Linked DNA regions of Pelodiscus sinensis. Each later gene encodes a partner of the first gene's protein in a complex. Links are inferred from orthologs where the notes say so. Each region holds a gene or a part of one and is shown in the gene's direction. Other genes may lie near its edges.

Region 1 (7,201 bases):
GTCTCTCTCAGAGATTGGTTAGTAACTGGTGGACGCGCGCTTGCCCTCAATATTAGTGCACGGGTCAAAACGCCCTCTGTTCACGGTTGGAAAATCTTCACGGGGACGCCGGAGCAGGGAGCTGTTCTTGGTGCTGTTTGCTCCACGCCCGCGGCTGGCCTGACCACATAGCGAAGCTAGACTCGACAGGGCGACACACTAGAATCATAGGTTCCCGAACGGGGGAAATTCAAGGGGGGGGGGGGGCGCAAGGCGACCCAGCCCCCCACCCCGTCAAAGAGCCTAGTCCCTCTAGTAAAAAAAATTCAGAAAATACTGGACGTGTCTTCCTGGCTCGGGCGTCTGCCAGAACACGCACAGCTTGGGCCTGGCCAGGTTTTTTTTCTTTTTCTTTTTTTTGCTCAACAAGCATTTTTTTGGGGGGGGGGGGGGGGTGAGGGTCTCTCAAAAATCAAAACGGAGGCGTGATGCTGAGAAGGTGGGGAACCGCTGCGAGACGGATGTGAGTGTTTCTCGGCTGGCCGGGCAGCCCCCGACTCTGCTCCTGTGCTGTGGGGGGGCCGTGACCCCGAAGACGCTGGGCCCACAGCTGGGCTCACCCGCTCCGTTGTGAATCCCTGTGCCTCGTGTCAGGACGCTGATGGTCGTGGGGTTTGTGTCCTCCTAGCAGACTTACCTGCTATTGCCACGTGGCAGTGGGGGGCGGGGGGCAGGAGCCAGGGCAAGCCCTTGGGGAGTGGGGAGCTCAGGGCAGGAGTCTGGGGGTGTAGGGTGATGCAAGAATGAGGGTGGAGGGATGAGCAAGGGCTCAGGACAAGGGGGCTATCTGGGGCTCTCTCCCCGCCCCCCGGCTCCTCTCAGGGTGGGGGGGGGCAGAGGCTGTCTCCTGCGAAGGGGCCACACTTCTCTTTCCAGCTGGCAGGCAAGAACACCGAGCCCCCGGCCCTGCTTGGCCACCCCTACGGTGATGCAGCTGCCCTCAGGGATGACCCTCCCCATAGCTCTCCCCTGCGCTCACTGCCCCCCAGTGGCCACTCTCAGGATCGCCTCCCTCCTCTCTCAGCCCCCTCCCCTGCCACGTGCTGGAACACAGCCCCATTCCCGGCACGGCCCGTTGTCCTGGGCCTCGCAAACCCGGCCCTTGCTTGCGCTTTGGAGAAGAGAATCCTAGAATCCCAGGGCGGGCAGAGACCTCGGGAGTCATCGAGTCCAGCCCCCTGCCCACGGCAGGACCAGCCCAACTCAATCAGCCCAGCCAGGGCTTGGTCTAGCAGGGACTTAAAAATCTCTAGGGATGGAGATTCCACCCCCCTCCCAGGCAACCCATCGCAGCGCTTCCCCACCCGCCTAGGGAAAGAGTTTTTCTTAATCTCCAACCTAGACCCCCCCACTGTAACTTGAGCCCATTGCTCCTTGTTCTGCCTCCTGCCACCCCTGAGAACAGCCTCTCGCCAGCCTCTTTGGAACCTCCCTTCAGGGAGTTGCAGGCTGCTTTCAAATCCCCCCTCACTCTGCTCTTCTGCAGACTCAGCTTTCCCCACATCGTCTGTCACTAGGTCACCTCCCTCATCCAGTAACCCCCTCTCCGATCTGGTCACCTACCATATTTGCTTTTCTTACTGCACATCGGGATGGTTTCTTCCTGTGCCTTTAATAAGGCTTCTTTAAAATCCTGCCAGCTCTCCTGGACTCCTTTCCTTTCATGTTAGCATCCCAAGGAATCCTGCCCCTCAGTTCTCTGAGGGAGTTGAAGTTTGATTTCTGAAGTCCAGGGTGTGTATTTTACTACTCTCCTTTCTTCCTTTGGTCAGGATCCTGAAATCTACCATCTCATGATCACTGCTTCCCAGGTTGTCACCCACCTCCCCTTCCCCTAGTAGTTCGTCCCAGTTTGTGAGCAGCAGGTCAAGCTGCGCACGGCCCCTGGTCGGTTTCTTCAGCACTCGTACCAAGCAGTTATCCCCAACGTTCTCCAAAAACTTCCTGGATTGTCTGTGTCCAGTTGTATTGGTCTCCCAACAGATGTCAGGGGGATTAAAGTCCCCCCCCAGAGGAAGCTGCCTGGCAAATTTGGTGGTCCGCGGTCTTCTTGTTTCTGAGTTTTTGAATGGACACTCAGATGGACGGACAGACTCTAGAATTCAGGGCTAGATGACCCGGCCTTTGGGAAGCCACAGTGTAGCCCAGGCAGTATGACCATTAAGGCCATACTGGTATTGCCCCAGCCTTTGGCTCTGGACTGTGGTCCAGATGGATCTGTGTTTTTTTCGATCTGGAGTGTGGAGTGGAGCAGTGCCAATGTGGGGTGTCCCTGCGGGGCGTGCTCAGCAGGTGCGGGGGCCTGTCCCTTCAGCTGCGCCTGGGCCGTGGAGAAAGGTGATCCGTGCATTTTGCATGCCGCTCGACTGTCGGCCAGAGCTGAGGGACCGGTCTTGAAACTGCTACCCATGGGCCCGAGACCCCTCCCCTTTTCTGCTCACTGGAGACCACCCAGGCCCTGTCGTCGCCACCGGCCCCTGCCCCTCACTCTCAGCCCCCCTGCCCGAGGCTAGTCCCCGCCCCCACTGCACTGCTGGCTTTCCTAGCCCCGGGGCACTAGGTGGTTGGGCAGCTGAACGACCCCCGGCCCCAGAGCCTTGGGGGGCCAGGGATCACGGGCTATGTTGTCAGACTTGACCCCTGCCGGCTGGTCCTGTCCCTTCCTGTTGCCAGCTCCAGCGCAGGGCCAAGAGCAGCCTGAGGAATAGGGCACTGTGGGGGCGTAGCCAGAGGGGAATGTGGTGTTGGGGGTGTGGCCAGTGATAGTGTGGGGGCGTGGCAGGGGCTGGCAGGAGGGGAATAGGGCACTGTGGGGGCGTGGCCAGAGGGGAATGTGGTGTTGGGGGTGTGGCCAGTGATAGTGTGGGGGCGTAGCCAGAGAGGAATGTGGTGTGGGGGGTGTGGCCAGTGATAGTGTGGGGGCGTGGCAGGGGCTGGCAGGAGGGGAATAGGGCACTGTGGGGGCGTAGCCAGAGAGGAATGTGGTGTGGGGGGTGTGGCCGGTGATAGTGTGGGGGCGTGGCAGGGGCTGGCAGGAGGGGAATAGGGCACTGTGGGGGCGTAGCCAGAGAGGAATGTGGTGTGGGGGGTGTGGCCGGTGATAGTGTGGGGGCGTGGCAGGGGCTGGCAGGAGGGGAATAGGGCACTGTGGGGGCATGGCCAGAGGGGAATGTGGTGTTGGGGGTGTGGCCAGTGATAGTGTGGGGGCGTGGCAGGGGCTGGCAGGAGGGGAATAGGGCACTGTGGGGGCGTAGCCAGAGAGGAATGTGGTGTGGGGTGTGTGGCCAGTGATAGTGTGGGGGCGTGGCAGGGGCTGGCAGGAGGGGAATAGGGCACTGTGGGGGCGTGGCCAGAGGGAGAATGTGGTGTTGGGGCGTGGCCAGTGGGAGTGTGGGGGCGTGGCCAGAGGGAGAATGTGGTGTTGGGGGCGTGGCCAGTGGGAGTATGGGGGCGTGGCCAGAGGGAGAATGTGGTGTTGGGGGCGTGGCCAGTGGGAGTGTGGGGGCGTGGCCAGAGGGAGAATGTGGTGTTGGGGGCGTGGCCAGTGGGAGAATGTGGTGTTGGGGGCGTGGCCAGTGGGAGTGTGGGGGCGTGGCCAGAGGGAGAATGTGGTGTTGGGGGCGTGGCCAGTGGGAGAATGTGGTGTTGGGGGCGTGGCCAGTGGGAGTGTGGGGGCGTGGCCAGAGGGAGAATGTGGTGTTGGGGGCGTGGCCAGTGGGAGTGTGGGGGCGTGACCAGAGGGAGAATGTGGTGTTGGGGTCATGGCCTGTGGGGGCGTGGCCAAAGGAGGTAGGCTATCGCGGGGCGGGGCTAGAAGGGGCGGGGCCTCGAGCCGTGGCCCCATGACGTCATCACAGGCCTGCGAGGCAAAGCGAAGCCTGAACCAAACTACTCCCAGCCCCTCTGCCGCCTGCAGGACCCCGTGGGAAACGCATTCCCGCGCTCCAGCCGGTGGCTGGGGGAGAGGTGTCCTTGTCAATCGCCTGATGAAAAAAAACGACACACACCCCCGCGCCGAGCCCTCTGCCCCGACTCCAGTGCGCTCGTGTCCGTCCCCCTCAGAGAAACCCCCGCCCTCAATGGTCCCTTTGGTGCGGGTGGGTTTTTTTTCGTTTGTTTCCAATCAGGCGCTGTGTTAGGCAGCCCCATCCGGCCGCGGGGTCCTCGCCGAGGCGCGCTCCCCTACCCCTCCCCCCACATTCCGGAAGTGGAGGCGCCGCTCAGTTCTGGCCGCGGCCGCCGCTCGAAGGAGACTCGGGCGCCCCTCCCCCCTGCAGCAGGTGAGCGGCCCCGCCGAGAATCGGTCGCGCATCGCCGCCGCGCGGGGCCATCCGCCCCCCGGAGCTCCTGATACCCCTCGGGCGGGCGATTCCCTCCCCGCCGCGCCCGGTCTCGGCCGCCATTTCCCGCCCCCGGGCCCCGAAAATCCGCCCGGAAGGGGCCCCGGGGGGGGCCGGATGGACGGGTTCCCCCATTGTGCGTCTCTAGCCGGCCAGGAATCCAAGATGGCGCCGGCCCGGCGGCCCTCCAGCCCCCGGGCCGCTCCGCCATCCGCGGACATCGGCCCCGCCCGGCCGCCCCCGCCCCCGGGACCCCGCGCGGGCGGGAGGGAGGACCCCCCCGCCGCCCCCCAGCCGGGTATTGGTGGGGCCGTGAAACGAACACACACAAAAATAGGGCGCCCAAGCCGCCCCCCCCACAGGGGAGCCTCCGACATGGGGGAGGGGTGCACCCCCCGTGCATGGTGGGACGTGCTGCAGTGGTTTGGGGGCAGGGCCCCTGCACTATGGTGGGTTGGGGGTGGTGAAGGGGATTGGGTAGCAGTGTATGGGGAGTAGGGCCCTGGCAGGGGGCAGGCCACGGAAGCAGTACCCCCCCCCCCCCCCCCCCCCCGCCATCGCAGCCTGTATCCTAGGACCTGGGGGCCTGCCCCACGGCAGCCGGCAAAGCGGGTGGTTGTGGCTTGTGGGCAGCACCCCAGTTTCTTCCTGGCCAGCCTGGGGGCGCCTCTTCCTGGCCTTGCACCTAGGCAGGGGGGCGGGGTGCTGAGGCTGCTCCTCTCAGTCCTGGGCAGGGGGGGAGGGTTATGGGGTGCAGCAGCCCCCAGGCCTGGTTTCTTTGTGGTGCACGCAGGGAGGGATTTGGGGAGCAGGGGCACCCCAGGGTCTGACATGCCCGCAGGGGGGCAGGGTACTGAGGCTGCTCCTCTCAGTCCTTAGCTGGGGGGGGGAGTGTTATGGGGTGCAGCAGCCCCCAGGCCTGGCTGGCTTTGTAGTGCATGCAGGGAGGGATTTGGGGAGCAGGGGCACCCCAGGGTCTGACATGCCCGCAGGGGGGCAGGGTGCTGAGGCTGCTCCTCTCAGTCCTTGGCCGGGCGGGGGGCGGGGGGGAGGGTTATGGGGTGCAGCAGCCCCCAGACCTGGCTGGCTTTGTGGTGCATGCAGGGAGGGCTTTGGGGAGCAGGGGCACCCCAGGGTCCGACATGCCTGCAGGGGGGCAGGGTGCTGAGGCTGCTCTTCTCAATCCTTGGCCGGGGGGGGGTTATGGGGTGCAGCAGCCCCCAGGCCTGGTTTGCTTTGTGGTGCACGCAGGGAGGGATTTGGGGAGCAGGGGCGCCCCAGGGTCTGACATGCCCGCAGGGGGGCAGGGTGCTGAGGCTGCTCCTCTCAGTCCTTGGCCGGGGGGGGGGGGGGGAGGGTTATGGGGTGCAGCAGCCCCCAGGCCTGGCTGGCTTTGTGGTGCATGCAGGGAGGGCTTTGGGGAGCAGGGGCACCCCAGGATCCGACATGCCTGCAGGGGGGCAGGGTGCTGAGGCTGCTCCTCAATCCTTGGCCGGGGGGGAGGGTTATGGGGTGCAGCAGCCCCCAGGCCTGGCTGGCTTTGTGGTGCATGCAGGGAGGGATTTGGGGAGCAGGGGCGCCCCAGGGTCTGACATGCCCGCAGGGGGGCAGGGTGCTGAGGCTGCTCCTCTCAATCCTTGGCCGGGGGGGGGGAGGGTTATGGGGTGCAGCAGCCCCCAGGCCTGGCTGGCTTTGTGGTGCACGCAGGGAGGGATTTGGGGAGCAGGGGCACCCCAGGGTCTGACATGCCTGCAGGGGGGCAGGGTGCTGAGGCTGCTCCTCTCAATCCTTGGCCGGGGGGGGGGGGAGGGTTATGGGGTGCAGCAGCCCCCAGGCCTGGCTGGCTTTGTGGTGCACGCAGGGAGGGATTTGGGGAGCAGGGGCACCCCAGGGTCTGACATGCCTGCAGGGGGGCAGGGTGCTGAGGCTGCTCCTCTCAGTCCTTGGCCGGGGGGGGGGGAGGGTTATGGGGTGCAGCAGCCCCCAGACCTGGCTGGCTTTGTGGTGCACGCAGGGAGGGATTTGGGGAGCAGGGGCACCCCAGGGTCTGACATGCCTGCAGGGGGGCAGGGTGCTGAGGCTGCTCCTCTCAATCCTTGGCTGGGGGGGGAGGGTTATGGGGTGCAGCAGCCCCCAGGCCTGGCTGGCTTTGTGGTGCACGCAGGGAGGGATTTGGGGAGCAGGGGCGCCCCAGGGTCTGACATGCCCGCAGGGGGGCAGGGTGCTGAGGCTGCTCCTCTCAGTCCTTGGCTGGGGGGGGGGGAGGGTTATGGGGTGCAGCAGCCCCCAGGCCTGGCTGGCTTTGTGCTGCATGCAGAGAGGGATTTGGGGAGCAGGGGCACCCCAGGGTCTGACATGCCCGCAGGGGGGCAGGGTGCTGAGGCTGCTTCTCTCAGTCCTTGGCCGGGGGGGGAGAGTTATGGGGTGCAGCAGCCCCCAGGCCTGGTTTGCTTTGTAGTGCATTCAGGGAGGGATTTGGGGAGCAGGGGCGCCCCAGGGTCTGACATGCCCGCAGGGGTCAGAGCGTGCCCCCTGCATCCCACTTCTCTCCCGCAGCTGGGCACAGCCCCCAGGAGTGTGGCGATACGAGTGGGGCTGGGGGCCCCCCAGTACTGCCAGTGGGGGGCGATGGGGTCCAGTTTGCAAAGCCTGTGGGGGAGTTCGGTAGGGCTCCCCTCAACATGTGGCGTCCGGAGTACGGCTGTGGGATTTGGGGGGGGTGGATCCAGCCTCCCCCCTGTACCTGGGCTCGCCCTGCCCCCCCACTCTGTGGGGCTGGGCTGTACACGGGCAGTTCGAGGGGGTGTGGGGGTTGAGGATGG
Region 2 (7,653 bases), on another chromosome or scaffold:
CAAGGGAATGCAAAATCAGACCTTATGGTGCACATGGAGCAAAATTAAATTTCTTCTTGATGAGGATGATTTTCCCAATGAATTGCAAGCTTAGAAACAATCTTACAAGTCAACTGTTTCAAATAGATAATTGTAGGAATGTTCACCAATAGGCAAGAAGTGAGATATACAAAATAAACCTCAAGTTATGTATTTGTACAGATTTTTAATGACAGTAAAGATGCTTTTCAAGAAGCTCAAGCACCAGTAGCATCCATTAAAGTTATAAACAAACTTCAGTACATATAGCTAGCAGTGCTATGACAGTTCTTCAGCTTACCATTTCACTTCATGGCTACATCTACACTGGCACCCTTTTCCGGAAATGCTTAAAACGGAACAGTTTTCCGTTATAAGTATTTCCGGAAAAAGTGCGTCTACATTGGCAGTATGCTTTTCCGGAAAAGCACTTTTTCCGGAAAAGCATCCGTGGCCAATGTAGACGCGCTTTTCTGGAAAAAAGCCCCGATCGTCATTTTCGCGATCGGGGCTTTTTTAGAAAAAAGACTACTGTGCTGTCTGCACTGGCCCTTTTCCGGAACAGTTTTTCCAGAAAAGGACTTTTGCCCGAACGGGAGCAGCATAGTTTTTCCGGAAAAACACTGACAATTTTACAGTAGATCGTCATTGCTTTTCCGGAAAAGCAAGCGGCCAGTGTAGAGAGCTCGCAGCTTATTCCAGAAAAGCGGCTGCTTTCCTGGAATAAGTGGCCCAGTGTAGACACAGCCAATGTGTGTGAAGTGATATTCCCTTTCACTACTTCCTTCACATTTGTGATTTTAGATTGCAGTATCGGTTATGGTAAGTTTTCAGAAATCAAGAGTCTGACCCCTAAAACTACAGGATTGGGGTTAAAATAACTTGTAAATAAACAAAATGTTTTAAAAAATCTTTTGATTTCTGGTTTTTGAGCCTTTTAGGGTATAATCAGTTCACATTCACAGACTTTTCTCTGCAAACATGAAAGCTTATATATATGGTAATTAAGTGATATATCACTTTAAGTATCAGAGGGGTAGCCGTGTTAGTCTGGATCTGCAAAAGTGACAAGGAGTCCTGTAGCACCTTATAGTCTAACAGATGTATTGCAGCATAAGCTTTCGTGGGCAAAGACCCACTTCTCAGATACATGTAGTGGAAATTTCCAGAGGCAGGTATAAATATGCAGGTAAGAATCAGGCTAGAGATAACGAGGTAAATTCAATCAGGGAGGATGAGGCCCACTTCTAGTAGCCGATATGGAGGTGTGAACACCAAGAAAGGAGAAACTGCTTTTGTAATTCGCTAGCCATTCACAGGCTTTGTTTAATCCTGAGCTGATGGTGTCAAATTTGCAAATGAACTGCAGCTCAGCAGTTTCTCTCTGAAGACTGGTCCTGAAGTTTTTTTTCTGCAGGATGGCTACCTTTAAATCTGCTATTGTGAGTCCAGGGAGATTGAAGTGTTCTCCTACAGGTTTTTTGTATATTGTAATTCCTAATATCTGATTTCTGTCCATTTATTCTTTTGCGTAGGGACTGTCCAATTTGGCCAATGTATATAGCAAAGGGGCATTGCTGGCACATGATGGCGTATATTACATTTGTCAAATTTGCAGATTACCCGCGTATGTTTATAACCCACAGGGACTTCTACAGCAGCCCTGGGCAGCAGTGCATAGACAGCAGACACAAGGCGACAGCCATCCTGCTGTCAGTGAGCCAGACGGACTGCGAGAGGGAGACACACTCATGCCCAGGCCCACCCCGTGCAGCCAGGCGTCACCCACCCTCCTCCGGGCGGGGAGAATGGAGAGCGTGCGCGGACACGCTGGAAGCTCGTCAGGCCCTCTCTGCAGCAGAGCTAATCCTGTTCTCATGGCGGGCGAGCAGAGACGCTTAGGGGAACTGATGCTCCTGGAGTATAAATCAATTTATATAAGACGCAGACATGTATACCCCATGGAGGGAGGGGACGCATGGTTTGTAAAAACATATATAACCCATGGGTTATATTTGCTAATTCATGGTAATTAGCAAACACCCAGACCTAAATATACCCACGTGGTTTCTTCATATTGATGACTGTTCTATAAAGAGTCAAGCCACAACAGAGGGCAACTACTTATTTTGTTGTTTTGTTTTGTTTACATGAGAAGTGAGATTCTCACACCATCACTTGTATCCAGAGCTGCAGCTTTAAGAAGAACACTAAATATGTGGAAAGAGTAGCCATAAAATAGTGAGAGTTGGTATTGCATACTGCACAGAACTCCACAGATACAGGACAGAAGAGTTTGAAAGAGTCACCAGTAAGCCAGTCTGTGTGCATGTGCCTGGAATGTTAGCTACTATTGTAGCACCGCTGTAAATAGTTCTTGTAATAAAGTCAGATTATTTTAGAAACATGGTGATCTCTCAAGTTATTTACATAGTATATGTAATGGGTAGTACTGATATTAAGCCCATCAAAGCAAGGATTTTTTTCCCGTGTTTGTACAGCATTCAGCACATTGGAGTGCTAATCCTTATTGGGTCCTGTGAGCATTACCACATTAAGCATTACTAGTAAATGATTTAGAATTAGGGTTGCCAGGTGTCCGGTTTTCTACCCGACAGTCTGGTTTTTGGCCCTCTGTCCGGTAAAAAAAATCCAGAAAACACTGGATATGTGCAATGTCCGGTATTTCCTGGTTTTCTGGCTGGACGCTGGACAGAAGCCTGGCGGGGGCAGGAGTGACTGGGAGGCGGGGCATGATCGGCACTGGGAGCCTCTGGTTGCATGTGAGGAGGAGGGGCAGCCCGGTCCATGCTCCTGCGCGCTGGTCAAGCGTGTGGTGGAGCCGCAGCCGGACTGACTCGTGTGTGACGGGAGCGCTCTAGGATCTGCACAGCCCGGGTCAGTCCTGCTCCACGCTGGCTGATTTGCTCCCCTGCCCCCTCCGCCAGCTCTGAGTCTCGCTGGCCAGTTCCTGCTCTGGATTTTCCCCGGCCAGCCCCGCTGCACTCCCTGAGAGCCCTGCTTCTGGCGGCCAGTTCTCCCCTCCTCCTGAGCTCCCCCGGTCAGTTCTGCCCTCGCTGGCCACCCCCCCAAATATCCCACAGCCAGCCCTGTTCCGCCCGACCCCCCCCACTGACCAGCCCTGCTTTCCGTCGGCCCCCCAATCTTCCCTAGCCAGCTCTGCTGCCCCCCCCCAGTTAGCTCTGTTTCCCGGCCCCCCCCACTCTCTTCCCGGCCATCACTGCTCCCCTCCCGGCCGGTCCTTTCTCGGTATTTTTTTTTTATGACTACCTGGTAACCCTAGCGGTGATCCTATGATTAACACAGGGTATGTCTACACAACAAAGTTAATTCGAACTAACGGACGTGTGGACACTCTGTGTGGACATGCTAGTTCGAATTAGCAAAACGCTAATTCGAACTAGTTTTTAAGTCTAGCTGCGCTAATTTGAATTAGCTTAGTTCGAATTAACTAATTCGAATTAACTATTTCGAACTAAGTTAGTTCGAATTAGCGCTGTAGTGCAGACATACCCCCAGAGATTTAAACTGAGAAGCAATTTGCTTTCCCCCTGCTCGATTGCCCTCCTGGCTCCCAACACCCCCAGCCGCCTGATCCCAGCCCCCATGTTTACCTGGTTCTGCAAGGCTCCCAGCACAAAATGGTCTCGGAGTCTTTTTTTTGTTTGTTCAAGAACTTTGGTCTCCCCCCCACCCCTTTTTTTCCTTCAACAGAATTTTTTCTCTGTTTTTTTTGGGGGGGGGGGGAGGGTGTTCAGTATTTTTGTTTCAACCATCTGGCGACCCTATTTAGAATAAATGTACTAATTTTCTCAGCCTCTCCATTCTCCATAAAAAGGTCCCCTCCACAACAACTGAACCTCAGTATTGCCAAAGCCAGGTATTAAAAACATCGCAAGATTTTTTTAAAAACAAGTAAAATGTGGGATCTTTTTCTTGGTTTCTCACATACTGCGTTTGTCTCGCCTTTTCAAGCTTTTCTCCACACCATTTTTTTTACATGGAAAGGTTTTATGTAACGGGGTTTAAACTGCAGCAAGGGAGGTTTAGGACGGACATTAGGAAAAAGTTAATGTCAAGGTGGTTAAACACTGGAATAAATTGCCCAGGGAGGTTGTGGAATCCCCGTCTCTGGAGATATTTAAGAGTAGGTTAGATAAATGTCTATCAGGGATGGTCTAGACAGTACTGGGTCCTGCCATGGGGGCAGGGGACTGGACTCGATGACCTCTCGAGGTCCCTTCCAGTCCTAGTATTCTGTGATTCTGTGAAAGTGCCAGCGCAATTGCACCATCACATTAGTTGAGGGAAGCAGCTCGACCTAGAGCCCTGCTCTGGGCCTCCAGAGCACTGGCTGGGACGCTGCAATAGGGCTTGCTGGGGGAGGGGAGAGGCTCAGGCTCGCGCGCCTGCCCCCTCCCCAGGGATCGGGCTCCGCCCCCGGGCCATGGAGGCTCCTCTGGCCCTGGCGACACCAAGCCGCACCCGCAGGGGGCGCGCGCCCGCATTCCGCGCCGGGCTGCCTTTTTTTTTTTTTCCTGGCACCATAGAGTAGGAGGACCGATCCAGCCTGGCCACTTCCACATCGCTCCGGGATCGTTGTTTCTCACCTTCCCTCCGCTTGAGCCAACCCGGAAGCGGAAGTTCGCCCGCAGGGGGTTGTGGGACGCCGGCGCGGAGGCCCGCTCCTCTGTTTTCTTTTGGGTCAGTCGCATTCGGCAGCGGCGGCGGCCTGGAGGGGGAAGGGGTCGCAGACCGTCGCGGGGTGAGTCAGACCAGCCCCTCCCCCCCCATGGTTTCCAGTAGGCCCGTCTCTGTTGAAGGTGGGGGCGGGGGCCGCAGAGCCCTCCCCGGGGGTAGCCGTGACCTTTGTCCCCGTAAACATTCGCAGCCCTCCTCACCCCCCTCGGCTCTATCCGAGCTGCCCGGGCCGGGGTGTGGGTGGCGGGGGAGGGGGCAGCGGAATCAGGTGGGAAGGAAGCGCCAGGTGCCGCCTGGGAAGGACGCCGCTCAAGGTTCTTCTAGAGCTTTTAAAACGTGTGTTTCTGGCCCTGTTGTGCAGAATTCGGGGGTGATGGGGGAGGGGGCCGGATCAGACAATGTTTATGTACTGGACGTAGGAAAAAAAAAGTTAAAGCTTCTGTATTGGTTAAAAGGCAAATTACCAACATCCTGTGTCTAAATATACACAATAAGTAGCTGTAAAACACGCGTACGGTTTTTCTTCTTTTGCCTGACTGCAAATTTCACTTTTTATAGATGGAAATACTTTCTTATGGGGAATGTATGTGGAAGGTGAATTTGTTGGTCATTTATTGATTTCTCATTTTCTCAGTTTATTTTATGACTGATAAGAGTTGTATTTGTGAATCACTGGCAAATCTATCTATTTGTGAAATTATCTTACAAGTAGAGCACATCTATAGATAACATTCACAAATGTGTTTTGAGTAAATCAAATACTATTTGGTGTTGCTGTTTCCCATTCTAGGAAAGGGCTCTCGCTGTCTTCAAGTTGCATCATGTATAATATATTTAGGTCTGAGCAAGAGTTATAAGGCTAATTTTTCCCTTTAAATGGAAATTTGTTTTTCTTTCTTTCCAGAATAAAGTCATCTATTTGAGAATATGGAGTTCTTCAAGATTGGACTGTTGCAGTATAACTGTTTCTGGTTAATACTTCAATTATTCTGCTCATGCTAGTACTAGGTGATAACATGAGTTTCACAATGCTTCCTCCTGAAGCATAACTAACGGTTGAGTCATTGAATATCAAGCCATATTTATTATTCATATCATCAGCTTTTCAATTTCTCTGTGGGCTTTATTCTTGTGGCTAATATTTAAGTCTTGGAACTGAATTCCTATATTGTGATGTTTAGAAAACAGTTTATAATGGCAATGCTGTTAAATTTCCTAATTAACTTTCATGCCAAGAATCAGTGGCTTTACTTGGTAATATTTAAGTCTCAGAAATGGTCAGTTATTTACAGATAGGGACTATGTTCCTCAATTAGTGTGGCCTATAAGTTCACTTAGTATACATTTTCCTTACTGTTTTTATACTTTTTTTTTTTTTTGTGCTATGGCTGCTGCTACCATAGTTCATGATACATCCGAAGCAGTAGAGCTCTGTTCTACATATGGTTTATATCTTAAACCCATTACAAAAATGACTATTAGTGTGGCCCTTCCTCAGCTGAAGCAACCAGGAAAATCCATTTCTAACTGGGAAGTGATGGAAAGACTAAAAGGAATGGTGCAAACGCATCAGTTTTCCACACTACGGATTTCCAAAAGTACCATGGACTTTATTCGTTTTGAAGGAGAGGTTGAAAACAAAAGTTTGGTTAAGTCCTTTCTTGCATGCCTTGATGGCAAAACAATAAAACTTAGTGGCTTCTCTGACATTTTAAAAGTTCGTGCTGCAGAATATAAAATTGACTTTCCTACTAGACATGACTGGGACTCTTTCTTCCGTGATGCAAAAGATATGAATGAAACTTTGCCAGGCGAGAGACCAGACACCATTCACTTAGAGGGGTTACCTTGCAAATGGTTTGCACTGAAGGACTCTGGCTCAGAAAAACCAAGTGAAGAAGTCCTTATAAAAGTATTTAATAAATTTGGGGAAATACGTAATGTGGACATACCCATGTTGGATCCATATAGAGAAGAAATGACTGGAAGAAATTTTCATACTTTCAGTTTTGGAGGACATTTGAATTTTGAAGCTTATGTTCAGTATCACGAGTATGTAGGTTTCATCAAGGCCATGAATGCTCTGCGAGGGATGAAACTGATGTACAAAGGTGATGATGGAAAAGCAGTGGCTTGCAATATAAAGGTGAGGAACTGTGGAATTATTTTGTAATAGATCTTAAAGGGGAAAAACTACTGTTGAAGGTCCTTTCCATATATGTTAACATCTAGACCCTCATTTTATATGGATATCAGGTCAGATTGATGAAGTGACAGCACAAAAATAGTCTCTTGCAATATCCATAGTGAAATTTCAGATATAAGGTGTGATAGTGAAGGAGTGGTAATATGCACAAAATAAAATTTTAATATTGACGTAGCCCTTAGGCTAGGAATAATACAGTGTGGGAGCTAAATATGTGAACCAAGTCTGTGTTCTAAATGCCACATTTAAATTCTTAAAAGTTGTGTTTTGTAAATGTTAACCCATCTCCTCTAGATCTTCCACATTCTTGATTAGAGGATGGCAAACTTCATTATCTAACCCATCAAGGAAGGCTGCTGGTAAACACAATTTCCTGGTGCATCTGGAGTGTCCTCAGGCCTGAAGTCCCTCAGCTCCCAATGGCTGCATTTCATCATTCCCCTCAAATGGGAACTGTAGAAAGCATTGTGGGCTGAGGGGTGTACTGGCCACTACTTCCCACCTCTCTTGTTGGCCAGGAATGGCAAATTGCAGACATTGGGAGCTGTAGGGTGCCAGCCACTGAAATATAGGATTGTCTTATGAATGGATCATGGCAGTTTTCCATTTTTATCTATTCATCTTGGGGGAGGAATCGTCTTATAAACGAGTGGGCTAATGAGTATATATAAATGGTATTCCTCTGATATATTTGTAGAAAGCAATCA
Region 3 (6,850 bases), on another chromosome or scaffold:
AGGGAAGGGTACGCAGCCGGGGGCCGTGCTGCGGTCACCCAGGTGGGGCTAGCTTGGACGGCTACCCAGCCCCAGGTGCAGCACCATGACTACCGACTGGTGCAGCTGGGGGGTGTCATGCCCCGCGGGGGGGCTTTGAGCGATGGCTCAGTCACCCAAAGGCAGCTGTGCTGTCACCCGGCCGGCCCTCTCCAGGAAGCAAGAACGCCCTGCATCCGCCTCTAGGAGCTGAGAAGATGCATCTAGGCCCCGGGCAGTGCAGGCACTCACGGATTGGCCTGCGGGCTTGCCTGCCTCCAGCACAGGAGCCCATCTCAATGGACCGTTGCTGGCCCATGCTGACACCGCCGGGTTCCCGGCTCGCCGGGCCCTTTGCTAACGGGGCATTTCCCCAGCACCAAACCCCAGCAGGACGGCAGAGCTCACAGGCCGGCCCAGCAGCTCCTCGGGCTGGTGACGTAAGCTCTGCGCAGTGCTGCCCAGAGGGGATCGGCACAGGCTCATCTGCGCAGAGACCGCACCTTTCCCCTTGGCGCACGCAAGCGGAGACCTGCTGTCCCCTGCCCTCCGCGGGACCTTACCAGGCGCGACCCGCTGTTCGAGCTCTGCCTTGCTGGGGCGCTGCTCGGTACTGAGCGGGCACAAGGCAGCCAGAGGCCAGGACGGGCGCATTGCAGAGGAGGTGGCCAAACCCCAAGTCATTGGTAACCCCCCCCCCGAATTTGCAGTGCGCTGGCTGCAGGCTGGGATGTTGAGCCACAGAGCCCGGCTGACGGGAAAGGCCGGGGGCGCAGCCCAAGCATCGCCCCCCCATATGAGAGGCGCCACCTGGCCCCGGGAGGGAGGCAGGGGCCCCACGTGCTTACCTGGCGGGTTTCCTCGTCCTGTACCACTCCCTGGAGGAACAAGTGGTGCACCGGCATCCTCCTGAAGTAGCGCAGCTTATGCAGCCAGGCCTTGTGGACCAGCCTCCGCCTGCCTGGCTCGGGGGGTTCCTGCTTCGCTGCACCCAGCACCCAGCGACTAGTCTCCAGCAAAGGCCACTCTGGAGACCCGCGGCCGCTTGCAGGGGGGCAGCTGGAGCGGTCGGGAGAGAGTCTCTGAGCCGGGGGCAGGGGCCCGCAGTCCGGGTCGTCCCTTGGCTGGCAGCTACTGGGAGGTTCGGGGACGGAGCAGTCCGAGCCTGCCCTCCAGCTGCTGGCCGAGGAGAAGGAGAACACGTCGGAGTCCAGCTGGAGGCTGGCTAGGGAGCCCAGGTCACTGTTAATGGTGGTGCTGCTGCTGCTGGAGTCGGAGGAGAAACAGCCTCCCCCGTGGGTGCCCTTTGTCTCCGCGTGGGCTCTGTCCCAGGGGGCCCCGCAGCCTTGCTCGGCCTCCTCTTTGCTTTCCTGCTTTACGGCGGGGAGCAGGGGGCCGTGGGGAGGGAGCGCACACTCCGCGCCGACCTCGGGGGAGCCCTCCCCCTCGGTCAGGTCAATCACCGCCAAGTCCTCGCCCGTCAGATCAATGACCTCCTGGGGAGAGAGAGAGCCGTCAGTGCTGCCCCCAAGCCTTGGGGCCCCAGGACGGAGCTCAGCTTCAACAGCCCACATGAAAGTCTTCCTCACGGGCAGCATCAGCACCCAGAAGGCCCTGCCGGGACCCCACGCTCACCCGTGAAGAAAGAGGGTTGAAAGATGGGAGCGGGCTCCCGGCAGAGTCACAGGAAGGGTTAAAAGACTCAAGAACAAATGTCAGAGACCCCCGGAGCTCAAGCTATTTCGCTTGACAAAGAGACGGCTAAGGGGAGACTTGGGCACAGTCTGGGTGTAGCTACGTGGGGCTTCGATGTATCAAGGACTCACGATCCAATGGCCAGAAGCAGAAACTAGACTAATTTAGACTAGAAATAAGGCCAATGTGGAAGAGTGACGGTAATTAGCCCCGGGCCAGCCTACCAAGGGCTGGGGCGGATTCTCCAGCCCTGGCAGTTCTGAAATAAAGAGCAGATGTTTTTTCTAAACGCTCTGCTCTTCGCAGCCAGCGCCTCGGGATTTGGCCCAGAAATTCAGAGCCGCCTTCGGTTCTGCTGCTCAGATGCGAGCACAGCGGCCCCCTTCTAGCCTTAGAATCACGGAGGGGTTTATGCAAGCCAGTGCTGACCCAGAGTGCCGAGAGGTCGAAATACGGCAACTAGTCATGGTGAAAGTAATTTACAAAGCATGCTGGTACAGGAGCCCAGCTCCCGGGGCCCCAGTGGGAAGGGGTGGAGGTCAGCTTCCCCCAGCCGGCCTTTCAAACCAGGGCCTTTAAACCACCAGGCCCTGGGGCAGCTGCCACTTTTGCTCACCCCCTCATGGGCTGTGCCCAGGACGGTAGGGGCAGCCACTTCTCTCCGGCACGCCGTACCCACCCACTTCCACCCCGCTGCCGGGGCACGAGGAACTGGACTGAGAACAGCCCCTCTCAACTCGCAGGGCCTCAGCCAACAGGATAAGCATTGGCAGCCACTGCAAACCTGAGCCATGTCTGGCCCCCGAGCCAGCCAAAGTGCTGGTACCCCTGCCAGCCACACCAGCTGACTGGCTCTGAGGATCAGGCCTGGCCCATGGAGGTCTGGTTAGGCATAGTGAGTGCGTGCATGTGCACACAGGGGGGCGCCCGGCGGGAAGCCAGGGATGGTGGTGCACAGGGGCTAAAGCAGTGGGGCATGAGAGTTTGGTTTTGGGGTTGGGCAGCGAGGGGGATGCAGGGGAGCAGCACGGGGCGGTGTGTGGGGGCAGCACCGGGGGGCCAAGAGGGGCATGGGGAGGCAGCACCGGGGGGCCAAGAGGGGTGCAAGGGGTTGTGGGGGGGCATAGCGCTGGGGGGCCCAGAGGAGCGCAAGGTATGTGTGAGGGGCAGCGGGGGGGCCCAGTGGTGCAGGGGAACAGTGGGGGGCCCAGAGGAGTATGGGGGCAGGGGCAGATATAGGGCAGGGCGAGAGGGGCGACTGCCCTGGGCCCCGCGCATGCGCCGTGGCAAAGGGGGGCCCCGCGAAATTGGACTGCCCTGAGCCCCGCAAAAGGGGCACCTGCCCCTGCATGGGGGGCAGCACTGGGGGGCCCAGCGGTGCAGGGGGAACAGTGGGGGGCCCAGAGGGACATGGGGGGTGTGTGCGGGTAGAACTGGGGGGCCCAGAGGGGCATCGGGCGCGGGGGGGCACGGGGCTGTGGGGGGGGGGCGGGAGTCTGGTGCCGGGGCGGGGGGGCCCAGAGGGGTTCGGGTGTGTGTGGGGGGGCAGCACTGGGGGGCCCAGGCAGGTGCAGGGTGGCGCGAAGCTGTGGGGGGCAGCACTGGGGGCGCGGGGGGGCCCAGAGGGGTGCGGGTGTGTGAGGGGGGCCCAGGCAGGTGCAGGGTGGCGCGAAGCTGTGGGGGGCAGCACTGGGGGGCCAGCGGTGCAGGGGGAACAGTGGGGAGCCCAGAGGGACATGGGGGGTGGGGGCAGCACTGGGGGCGCGGGGGGGCACGGGGCTGTGGGGGGGCGGGGGGGCCCAGAGGGACATGGGGGTGGGGGCAGCACTGGGGGCGCGGGGGGGCGGGGCCGGGACTCACCGCGTGGCCCCGCTCCGAGCCCGAGTGGCGGGTGCGCGCGGCGCCCTCGGCCATGCCCCGCCCCGCGCCGCGCGGGGGCGCTCACGGGGGCCGGGGGGGCAGGCGGCTGGGAGCGGCCCGAGGGGTCCGCGCGCGGCTGCAGGCGGGGCCTGTGACCCGTGCACGGGCCGGCCGCGCGGGGGCGCTGCAGCGCGGGGGGAGGGGCGACGTCCCGCCCCTGGCGCCGGAAGCGGAAGCGGAAGCGCGGGCGGCGGTTGCCATGGCGCTCTCGCCGTACGTGCAGGCCATGCAGGAGCTGTTCCGGGCCAACACGCGCAGCCGCGAGTTCCCGGCGCACGGCGCCAAGGTGCACTCGGTGGCCTGGAGCTGCTGCGGCCGCCGCCTCGCCTCGGGCTCCTTCGACAAGACCGCCAGCGTCTTCGTGCTGGAGAAGGACCGGCTGGTGCGCCCCCCCGGGGCGGGGCTCCGGGCGGGGCGGGAGGTGCTAGGGGGCGGGGCGGGGCTGGGGTGGGAGGGGGCGGGGCTCCGGGCGGGGCGGGAGGTGCTAGGGGGCGGGGCTGGTGGTGGGAGGGGGCGGGGCTCCGGGCGGGGCGGGAGGTGCTAGGGGGCGGGGCTGGGGGGCTTGGCCTGGGGTGGGAGGTGCTAGGGGGCGGGGCTGGTGGTGGGAGGGGGCGGGGCTCCGGGCGGGGCGGGAGGTGCTAGGGGGCGGGGCTGGGGGCTTGGCCTGGGGTGGGAGGGGCTGGGGGGGCGGGGCGGGGCTAGGGGGCTCCGGCCGGGGCGGGAGGGGCTGGGGGGGGGGGCTGGAGCCCGCAGCCCGCGACGTGTTTGGGGGGTTGGGGATCGTTCAGTCCACAGAAGAGCAGGGGGGGGGGGGTTGAGAGCAGCCTGCGGCTCCCGGGGGGCCAGAGGCTCTTCTCAGTGGGGCAGGGCGAGGGGCTCGAGGCTGGCGGGGGCGGGGGGTGAAGGAGAACAATTCTCTTCCTGTAGGTGAAGGAGAACAATTATCGTGGCCACGGGGATAGTGTGGATCAGCTGTGCTGGCACCCCAGTAACCCCGACCTCTTTGTTACCGCCTCTGGAGACAAAACCATCCGTATTTGGGACGTCCGCACCACGAAGTGCATCGCTACCGTGAACACCAAAGGTGGGTGCTGATGTGAGGAGGTTAGAGGGACCCGCACATCTCAGTACAGCTACAAACACTGCTTCTTTTGCAAATGCATCCTGCTCCCAACATGGATGCCAGTAAATTCAGGAAACCTGAGAGCTCTATATGATCAGGGCTCGACAAACTATAGAATCTACTCACCCGTGGCGAGTAGATTTCAGCTGCACACCCCATTTACCGGTGGCATGCGCATGCTCAGTGCGGGGCTGGCGAGCAGCTTTCACTGCCATTTGTCAAGCTCTGTATATGATGATTGTGTGGCAATTGCATCTTTCTGGCTCTTAGTAGCAAATTATAACTATACATTACACCAGGGGTTCCCAACCTTTTTTGGCTCCCGTACCTCCTTGACAAGCTTCTCGTTCCCCAGGTTGGGAACCCCTGCATTACACTATCTCCAGGGAGAATTTGTGTGTGTACCCAGCATTAGCCATGTTCTGACACAGTGTTAAACACCTGAACCTGTTTACATTAGCGCTAGTATTGGTGGAGGTGCACTGATGTTAGACTGTCTCAAAATCTCTCTGGTGTGTGGCTCTAGGGAGAAGGGATAGCTAGAAGTTAGAAAAAAACGTTGAGTCCTCCCATTTCTATTTTTTAAGCATCTTTTCTTCCAAGGTTTCGTTACATATTCATTCCAGTCAGTATATAGGTGGTATATAGGTGCGGGAAATGTGTGCTAGGGTGCTATGCAGGTGAATCCTGCTCTCCCTAACTCAGCTGGGATTAGCAGCACCCCTGCAAATTGTTCCAACACCCCTGAGTCACTACTATGTAAAAAAATTGTTCAGAAACAAGGAGGAGTCCTCTGGCGCCTTAAAGATTAACAGACATATTTGGGCATAAGCTTTCGGGGGTAAAAAGCACTTTGTCAGATGTATGGTTTTTACCCACAAAAGCTAATGCCCAAATATATCTGTTAGTCTTTAAGGTACCACAGGTGCTGTCTGTGCATTTTGCCACTCAAGGCAGAAGGTTTGTGGGGCAGACCTGGGTTAAACGTACAAGAGTCTGTCTATGGCACATGAATGGCTCTTGCCCCCATTAGTGGTGCGGGAGGACCTGCCCACTCTCTTCCATTCCAGGAGAGAACATTAATATCTGCTGGAGCCCCGATGGCCAGACCATTGCTGTGGGAAATAAGGATGATGTGGTCACCTTCATTGATGCCAAAACACATCGCTCCAAGGCTGAGGAGCAGTTTAAGTTTGAGGTGAATGAGATTTCCTGGAACAATGATAACAACATGTTCTTCCTCACCAACGGAAACGGCTGCATCAACATCCTCAGGTACTTACCGGCATGGTCTCTAGTGCGGGGCCCCCCTCTTACATCTCCTGCCCTGCTCCCTCGGGCTGTCTTTCCTTCTCATGGCTCTTGTGTAGACTGATTGCCTTGGCAATAGCTGAGGGCTACAGTGTGGTGTGGTTGGGGGGTTGTGTGCTGTCATAAGCTGGCTGGTAGACGAGGCTGAGAGGTTCCCAATGGGGCTCTAGTCTGCTGTCCTTTGATCGCTAACCCTTTAGGGTTCCTTGCTGGGGGTGGGCCTTAGGGGGTGGGCCTATCTCAGGGGAACAGGGTGTTAAAAGAAATGGGAGTTTTGCGAGGCAGATGTACCTAGTAACGGCTCCAGCATGAGACTGGGAAGCACAGGACACCGGGTGCACAGAGGTGGGAGATCGCTGTGAAGTTATCCCCTGCGACACAGATTCAGCGATGAGGCTGCACCCATCTCTGACCCAGCGCAAGGACTGGGTCTACCCCCAGAAAACCTCAGGGTCCTGCACCTCTATGCCAGGTGCACCAGGTGTGGGCAACTCATGGCCCTCAGATTCCAAGTATGGGCTCTTGAGACCAGGGTGGCTGAACTGGAGGAGCTAAAAGAGAGGGAGGTACACTGCAGAGACTTCCAGGGTAACAGTAGAGCAGTCTCCCCTCCCCCCCCCCCCCCCCCCCCCCGACAGCCTCTGTGCTGTTGAGGGGAAGGAAAGTCTTGAATAACATCAAGCTCGAGCAATCCCATAATTGGGACCTCCCTTCCAGATGATGTCATGGTGCTCCTCTGGGGCCCACTTACTAAGAGACAGGTAAACAGTAATGGGGGATTTG
Region 4 (7,415 bases), on another chromosome or scaffold:
GACGGGGATCTTTCGGAAAATAAAGCCTTTTCCGAAAGATCCCTTATTCCTCTTAAAATAAGGAATAAGGGATCTTTCGGAAAAGGCTTTATTTTCCGAAAGATCCGCGTCTAGACTGGTGCTTTTTTCTGGCAAAGCCCCGAGCCGGAAAAAAGCGGCAGCCATGTTTACGCAAATGAAGCGGGGGGGGGGGGGGGATTTAAATCCCCACTTCATTTGCAATTGCGATGTGTCTAATTTGCATCCCTTTTACGGAAAAGGGATGCAGTCTAGACACAGCCAAGGCGTTTTAAGTCTCGGCTTGACAAAGCCCTGGCTGGGTTGATTTAGCGGGGATTGGTCCTGCCTAGAGCAGGGGTCTGGACTTGATGACCTTCTGAGGTCTCTTCCAGCTCTATGGTTCTATGTGTCTATCATGTGCCATGTTGCACACCAGGAGGCCCCCCCTACGCGTTCCGCAGAGGGGTGGCCCACACGGTAGAGGACTGACACACCAGGGAGGGATTGTGCCAAGGATGAAGCATCAAGCACAGCTGGTCTGTAGGATGCAAGCAACGTGCCAAGCTAGCGCAGGGCCCCGCCACCCAGAATGGCTAAGGCAAAACCAGAGGCCGCATTCTACCACCTGGTGGCACATCTAGGGAACGTCTTTGACGACGGCATGGGAACAATCCTACTCTGCTGTCCATGGCCTGCTTGTGGGTATCCTCGCTTGGCTCAAAAGCAAAAAGCACGAAGAGAAATTAATCACAGCCATGAGTTTATTGACACCAGTCCAGGGATTGCCACACTACAGCCGGTAAGTGACACACTATTGGCAAGGGGCCTCGTCCCAAAGCCACGAGGGTTCAAAGAACTGGCATGATTCTGGCGCTGCACAGCACAACGGACCAGCGGCTAGGTCTCTGGTGGGAGCAGGCCCTGTATCCCACGGGTCTCACAACAACCTTCGTTTCTGTACTGCTGCATGTGAAGGTATCAGCTCAGGGCCCAGCCTGCCTGCGGTGCACGGGGAATGGCTGCAAAGGCATAAGCAGCTGAGATCATGGATAGAGAGCTGCACACGGCCCTAAGAAGCCCATTTCAACTTGCAGGACCATCTCTCCCCACTTGACAGGCAATGCCAATACCGACTCTGCAGCATGCAATAGTGGTGATGTCTCAGGATGTGAGGGGGGCAGGGCAAGCCAGGACTGAGAGGCCTTTTCAGAGAACACGGATGGGAAGGTACCCCTGATGCAAGAGCTGGGAGAGGTATTATTTAAACAGGGAGGTCCCCTTTAGTTTAGGAAGCAGCTTCTCAAAGGGTCAGACACTGACCCTACTGACATGGCGTGGAGTTGCAAAGGACAAGCCGTGTCTTAACAATCAGGTCCAGGGTGTTTTAAATAAGGCACCCAAACCACAGATCCATGTCTGCATGGCAAAAGGGGCTTTTTACTGACACACACACACATGCTGCGTAGACTCAAGTGTATGAACTCATGTGGGATGCTCAGTCTCAGATCAGGATGAAACAATTAATGCTGAAAGCTGTGACAGCGTGTTGAACCGGCATCTCTGCGGGAAAGGTTAATATGCACCACTCAGATGCTCCCTCTGCCCCAGGCTTCCCTCTTGCCTATGGTGAGTCATAACAGTCTGTGGGCAAGGTTCCTCTGGAAGGGATAGGGAAATGCAAGAAGCTGTATAAATAATTCACTGTTCCAGGGTCTGGAGAGAGGAGACTAAATCCCAAGAAAACACGTTAGCAATAGCGTGTGAAATCCAAGTAGATCTGCTGGCTGGGGGAGGGGCTGTCACTCCTTGAACTTCCACTCCTGCCGGCACATGGGACAGTGCTGCTGGACCTGCTGGGAATTCAGCCACTTGAGAATGCAGTGCATGTGGAAGCAGTGGGAGCACTGGCCCCACACCAGTGGGCAGTCGTCTCCAGGCACCTTACCTGTAAAAGGACAAAACTCATGAGAGAGCGAGAAGGGCGCCCCGGGGTGAAATCCGGCCGGGGGCCAAGGGCCTGGGCTACTCACAGTCTGGGCAGCAGCCATTGAAGGCCATCCGGCAGATGCCACAGTTCTCATCATTGGCCACCCAGAGCCAAGAGGCTACCCCATTCCAGCTCTTTATCTTCACCTTCATCCTGCCGGCTTCTGCCTCCGGGGGTCAAGTCAGCACCTGGCATGAGAAGCAGCTACTCAGACTGAGTTTTATCATTAACCCTTTAGAACATCAGAGCGGCCAGACTGGGTCCATCCAATCCAGCATCCTGTCTTCACTGACAGGAGCCAATGCCAGGTGCTCCAGAGGGAATTGACAGAGCAGGGAATCATCATGTGGTCCCTCCTGTCGCCCATTCCCAGCTTCTGGCAGAGGCCAGGGACACCAGCCCTGCCCATCTTGTCTCTTAGCCACTGATGGACCCTAACCTCCATGAATTTATCTAGCTCTTTTTTGACCCTGTTAAAAGTCTTGGTCTTTACAACATCCTCTGGCAAGGAGTTCCACGAGTTGACTGTGGCTACGTCTATCCTGCGCAAGAAAATATGCAAATGAGGCAAAGCGGTGAATATCGCTATGCCTCATTTGCATACTTAATAAGCCACCATTTTTGCGCAAAAGCCATTCTTCCTGAAAAAAGAGCTGCGCAAAATGGCGGCTCATTAAGTGTGCAAATGAGGTGCAGCGATGTTCACCGCTTTGCCTCATTTGCATATTTTCTTGCACAAGACAGCACAGCATAGACGTAGCTGTTCTTGCGCAAGAATCCACAGAGCATACACACTGCCCGCCCGCTCTTGCGCAAGGAAATTTACAGTACAGCGTGGTAAGAGAGGGCTTCTTGCGCAAGAGCTACGCTCCTTTTTAACAGGTGTAAGCCCTCTGCACAGGAGCTCTTGCGCAAGAGGTCAGCGTGGACACTTGGCAGGGATTTCTTGTGCAAGAAAGCCCTATGTTTAAAATGGCCATCAGAGCTTTCTTGCGCAAGAGAGCGTCCACACTGCCAGGGATGCTCTTGCGCAAAAGCACAGCGCGCACATGGCAGTGTGGACGTGTTCTTGTGCAAGACTTCTTGTACAAGAAACCTTGCGCAAGATATTCTTGCGCAAGAAGCCTCCAGTGTAGACATAGCCTGTGTGTTTTGTGAAGAAAAACTTCCTTTGGCTTGTTGTAAACCTGCTGCCTATTAACTTCATTGAGTGACCCCCTAGTTGTGTTAAGAGGAGTAAATCATAGGTTGGTTCCCCTGCTGAAACAGCTTATATCCCCAGGGGCCATGCAATCTCCTTTGGCTGTCAGCACTGCTTCCTCCCCTGCGGCAGTTCAAAGTGGGATGTAGATGGGACTGTCCCTTCCTCCATAGCTCAGTCATTACTATAGAAACTCTGCCATAGGGAGCCTCTCATCTGAAATCTTCTAGGTTGGGCTTAGTGACCCTGCCTCATCACTGGGCACATCAGGAACCGTAGGTGCCCTTGTGTTTCCGGGCATGGAATGAAAATGGATCGCGACTCCTATTAGCATTCGGCACTTGATTACTGCAGACCAGGGCTGAGGCCGGACGGCTTCCCTGCTCCCCACGGGAAAGGTACTGGCACACACCTAACGCACCGCAGCCCCGAGAGCGCCACACGACCCGGAACGCAACACTGCACAGCTGCTGGGCGCACTGCACAAAGCCCCCCCCTTCAGGATCTCTATGGGGCTCCACGATCTCTGTCTGCTTCACCACCCTGAGAGAGTTCTGCCCACTCCCCTCTCTTTGCAGTCCGGGAGCCCCCCCCGCCCCTAGGGAACGCTCCCAGATCTCTGCCCCACCCCTAGGATTTCTTCCACCCCTACAGAGCCACCCCACCCTAGGGAGTCCCCCTGAGATTTCTCCCGCCCCTAAGGAGCCCCCTCCCGGAACTCTCCAGCCCCCCCTGCCCTAGGGAGTCCCCCTGAGATTTCTCCTGCTCCCCCTGCCCCCCAGGAAGCCCCCCCGATCTGCCCAGCCCCCACTAGGGAGCCCCCCCGATCTGCCCAGCCCCCACTAGGGAGCCCCCCCGATCTGTCCAGCCCCCCCGATCTGCCCAGCCCCCACTAGGGAGCCCCCCCGATCTGCCCAGCCCCCACTAGGGAGCCCCCCCGATCTGTCCAGCCCCCCTTCCAATAGGGAGCCCCCCCCGGATCTGTCCGGGCCAGGCCCCCGCCCCCCGGCACGTGCTCCGGCAGCTCCGCTCACACTCTCTGGCTGGGCCGGCGGGAATCTCTAGGGCCGCGTACCGGAAGTCCCGCCCCCGGCACCCCGCTGTCACGGCCTCGGCCCAACGGAGAGGCGTGTTAGGCGGCTGCGCCCTTCTTGGCGCCCGGGCCCGCCCCTTCCGCTTCCGGCGTCGGCGCAGCGCGGCCGGAAGTGCAGGCCCCGGAGCGGAGCCGCCATCATGGCCGACAAGATGGACATGTCGCTGGACGATATCATCAAGCTGAACCGCAGCCAGCGGGGCGCTCGCGCCGGGGGCGGCCGCGGGGGCCGGGGGCGCGGGGGCGCCGGCCGCGGAGGCGGGCCCGGCCGGGGCAGCGCCGGCGCGGGCCGAGCAGGAGGCGGCCCCGTGCGGAACAGGCCGGTCATGACCCGGGGAGGCGGCAGGAATCGGCCCGCGCCCTACAGCCGGGTACGGAGCGGGGCTGGCCCGCGGGCCGGATTGCGGCGCGCGGGGGCCGGGGCCGGCCCGGGGGCCGGCGGGGCTGGGGGCCGGGCCCGCGGGAGGCCCTTTGTTCTCGCCCAGCCGCAGCGGGCAGGGGGCGAGGAGCCGCGAGCCCCAGCGCAGTGGCGGGGGCCCGGCCGCGGGGCTTGGTCGCTGAGGGGATTTGTTCTGTTTCAGCCAAAGCAGCTCCCCGAGAAGTGGCAGCACGACCTGTTCGATAGCGGCTTCGGGGCTGGGGCTGGCGTGGAAACCGGGGGGAAGCTCCTGGTTTCTAATCTGGACTTCGGTGTGTCGGATGCAGATATCCAGGTAAGAAAGTGCCCCCCCCCCACGTCGGAAAAGCACCAGAGGTGACGCTTTGCGGTAGTTGGCATGTGCCTCTTTTCATCAATACTGTGTTTTCTGAGCTCTACGAACCCTTCCTCATGGATGGATACTGTGATCTCCAAGGCAGTTCACTTTGTATTATTATTATTATTGCAGCCAGCACTTCTGATTTGACTCTTTTGGTACTATCTGATGTGACTGGAGTGCAAAAAAAAGTTGTTTAGCTTTTCTCTAGTTTGTTGTATAATGAATGGCTGAGCAAAAGTGCATGTGTGGAAAGCTGTGATGTTTGGATCTGAAAATGTAATGTAACTTGTCCAAAATCTGAAACATGCAGATCCCAATAAATGCATTAATAGAATGCTTTACAGGGTTGCTTTGTTTAATTCTCTCTACTGTTAAGATCTTGCTTTTTGTCACACACATACACTGTCTCTTTTTCACATCCACTTTTCTTCCTCCAACCTGTCTTTTTTTCCAGTTCAGAACTCTTATGTTAGGCAAAACTTGTATTGGGTTGTGAGATCTCTAGTCAACTGAGGTGGGGACATGCTTTTAGGGAACTAGCGCAAAAAGCATATGGGTTACGTACTCTTCTACTATAGCATCTGTAACTATCATCATATTGTAAAGGAGCTAAGATCTCTCAGCTGAAATGTAGTAGCCCTTGTGTTTGCTCTACTTATCTTCTTTGAGACATGTCGAAAGTCTCTTAGGCTAGTAACCACTGACCATTGACAAATATATCCTAAAGTATTTTGAGTTAGCTTAATACAACTAAAGTGCAGGCTCACAGGCTTGAAGAATAGCCTCCCGCTAGTCACCTGGGTGCTGAGTCTCAAACGTAGGCCACTAACTTTCAATTGACTTTCATGGAAATTAGGAACAGAAATACCTATGATAATCTGGGTCCTAGTTGTCAAAGTGCTATCAGATGTGCCAATCCAGGTCTTAGGAGACTTAAGAGGTCTTTTCCAACACATTGTGCAAGTTAGAGGCCTTCAGGTTGGCAGGTCCTGATGAAATACATCCTTGAATACTGAAGGAGCTGTCTGAAGAGATCTGAGCCATGAACGATTACCTTTGAGAACTCAGGGAGGATGGGAGAGATCTTGGAGGACTGGCAAAGGGCACATATAGCACCTAACTCTTAAAAGGAGAATAAGGACAATCCAGGGAATAAACAATTTGCTTAATTTGGGAACCCAGAAAGATAATGAAGCAAGTATTCCATCAGTTTGTGAGCACCTAGATGATCATAAAGTGGTAAGTAATAAGCAACATGCATTTGTCAAACAAATTTCAAATCAACCTAATAATTAATAAGCCTTGTGGATAGGGCTGAATAGTGGGGTGATATATCTCGATTGTAATAAGACTTTTGATACTTTCTCACATGACCTGTTATAAGCAAACTAGAACTGTAGCCTCGATGAACCGACCTAAAAGGTGGTTGCGTAATTGGTTGGAAAACCACACTTCGAGAATAGTTAGGAATGGATCACGGCCAAGCTGGAAATTGATTGAAATGGAGTCCCTCAGGGATCAGTTTTGGGTCTGGTTCTATTCAGTATCGTCGTAAATTAATTGGATAGTGGCATAGAGCAGGGGTTTTCAGACACTGGGTCGCGGCTTGTAAGGGCAAATGACTAACTGGCCGTGAGATGCTTTGTTCACGTGCACCTTCGCAGCTCCCATTGGCTGATCTGTGGCCAATGGGAGCTGTAATTGACGGTAAACAGGATTAGAACACAAAATGGTCTCAACAAACCAGAGAAATGGTCTGAAATAAATAGGAGGAACTTTAACAAGGACCAATCTAAAGTATCACACTTAGGAGTGAATAATCAGTTGCACAAATAAAAAATGGGAAATGACTACCTAGGATGGACTACAATAGGGGAAAAAAATCTTGGGGTTATAGTGGATCACAAACTAAATACGAGCCAATGGTGTAATACTATTGCAAAAAAAGCAAACATCACTTGGGGATGATGTAGTAGGAGTGTTGCAAGCAAGACATGAGAGGTAATTTTTCCACATAGCACTGAGCCTCAGTTGCAGTATTGTTTCCAGTTCTGGGCACCACCCTTGGAAAAAAAATTGGAATTTTTGTTTTGTATAATGGAAGACAGGGGAGTGGAGGATAATAACAGTGTTCAAATGTGTAAAAAGTTTGTTGTAAAAAGGAGTGTGGTGTGTTCTGCTCCTCCCCTGAGGATAGGACAAGTAATGGACTTAAATTGCGGCAGGAGAGATTTAGGTTAGGCATTAGAAATCATTTTGTAACTGTAAGGGAAGTTAAGCACAGGAGCAGCTTACCCAAGGTAGGTTGTGGAATCTCCATCATTGAAAGTTTTTAAGAACAGGTTAGACAAACACCTGTCAGAGATTGTCAGATAA

What was found. Proteins that work in one complex are often made in the same cells at the same time.
Region 2: DDX39B (region 1) and AKAP17A share a complex: the UniProt entries of both Homo sapiens proteins name them as parts of the spliceosome. The link is inferred for Pelodiscus sinensis from reciprocal best matches to the Homo sapiens genes DDX39B and AKAP17A.
Region 3: DDX39B (region 1) and THOC3 share a complex: the UniProt entries of both Homo sapiens proteins name them as parts of the transcription/export (TREX) complex. The link is inferred for Pelodiscus sinensis from reciprocal best matches to the Homo sapiens genes DDX39B and THOC3.
Region 4: DDX39B (region 1) and ALYREF share a complex: the UniProt entries of both Homo sapiens proteins name them as parts of the transcription/export (TREX) complex. The link is inferred for Pelodiscus sinensis from reciprocal best matches to the Homo sapiens genes DDX39B and ALYREF.

The regions. Positions count from the first base shown.
Region 1 is NW_027465831.1:175,553-182,753, reverse strand, and holds the start of DDX39B (spliceosome RNA helicase DDX39B), read left to right. Parts: upstream 1-4,185; 5' UTR 4,186-4,319; intron 4,320-7,201. UniProt on the Homo sapiens protein: Involved in nuclear export of spliced and unspliced mRNA. Component of the TREX complex which is thought to couple mRNA transcription, processing and nuclear export, and specifically associates with spliced mRNA and not with unspliced pre-mRNA.
Region 2 is NC_134711.1:223,232,541-223,240,193, reverse strand, and holds the start of AKAP17A (A-kinase anchor protein 17A), read left to right. Parts: upstream 1-4,635; 5' UTR 4,636-4,743; exon of another isoform or gene 4,744-4,804; intron 4,805-4,872; exon of another isoform or gene 4,873-5,076; intron 5,077-5,644; 5' UTR 5,645-6,124; coding exon 6,125-6,886; intron 6,887-7,653. UniProt on the Homo sapiens protein: Splice factor regulating alternative splice site selection for certain mRNA precursors. Mediates regulation of pre-mRNA splicing in a PKA-dependent manner.
Region 3 is NC_134727.1:40,973,543-40,980,392, reverse strand, and holds the start of THOC3 (THO complex subunit 3), read left to right. Parts: upstream 1-3,832; coding exon 3,833-4,054; intron 4,055-4,560; coding exon 4,561-4,717; intron 4,718-5,826; coding exon 5,827-6,031; intron 6,032-6,850. Other genes in the region: SIMC1 (SUMO-interacting motif-containing protein 1), read right to left, coding at 867-1,514, 3,574-3,627. UniProt on the Homo sapiens protein: Component of the THO subcomplex of the TREX complex which is thought to couple mRNA transcription, processing and nuclear export, and which specifically associates with spliced mRNA and not with unspliced pre-mRNA.
Region 4 is NC_134730.1:29,740,938-29,748,352, reverse strand, and holds the start of ALYREF (THO complex subunit 4), read left to right. Parts: upstream 1-4,397; 5' UTR 4,398-4,421; coding exon 4,422-4,652; intron 4,653-4,862; coding exon 4,863-4,994; intron 4,995-7,415. Other genes in the region: ANAPC11 (anaphase-promoting complex subunit 11), read right to left, coding at 1,800-1,945, 2,031-2,139. UniProt on the Homo sapiens protein: Functions as an mRNA export adapter; component of the transcription/export (TREX) complex which is thought to couple mRNA transcription, processing and nuclear export, and specifically associates with spliced mRNA and not with unspliced pre-mRNA.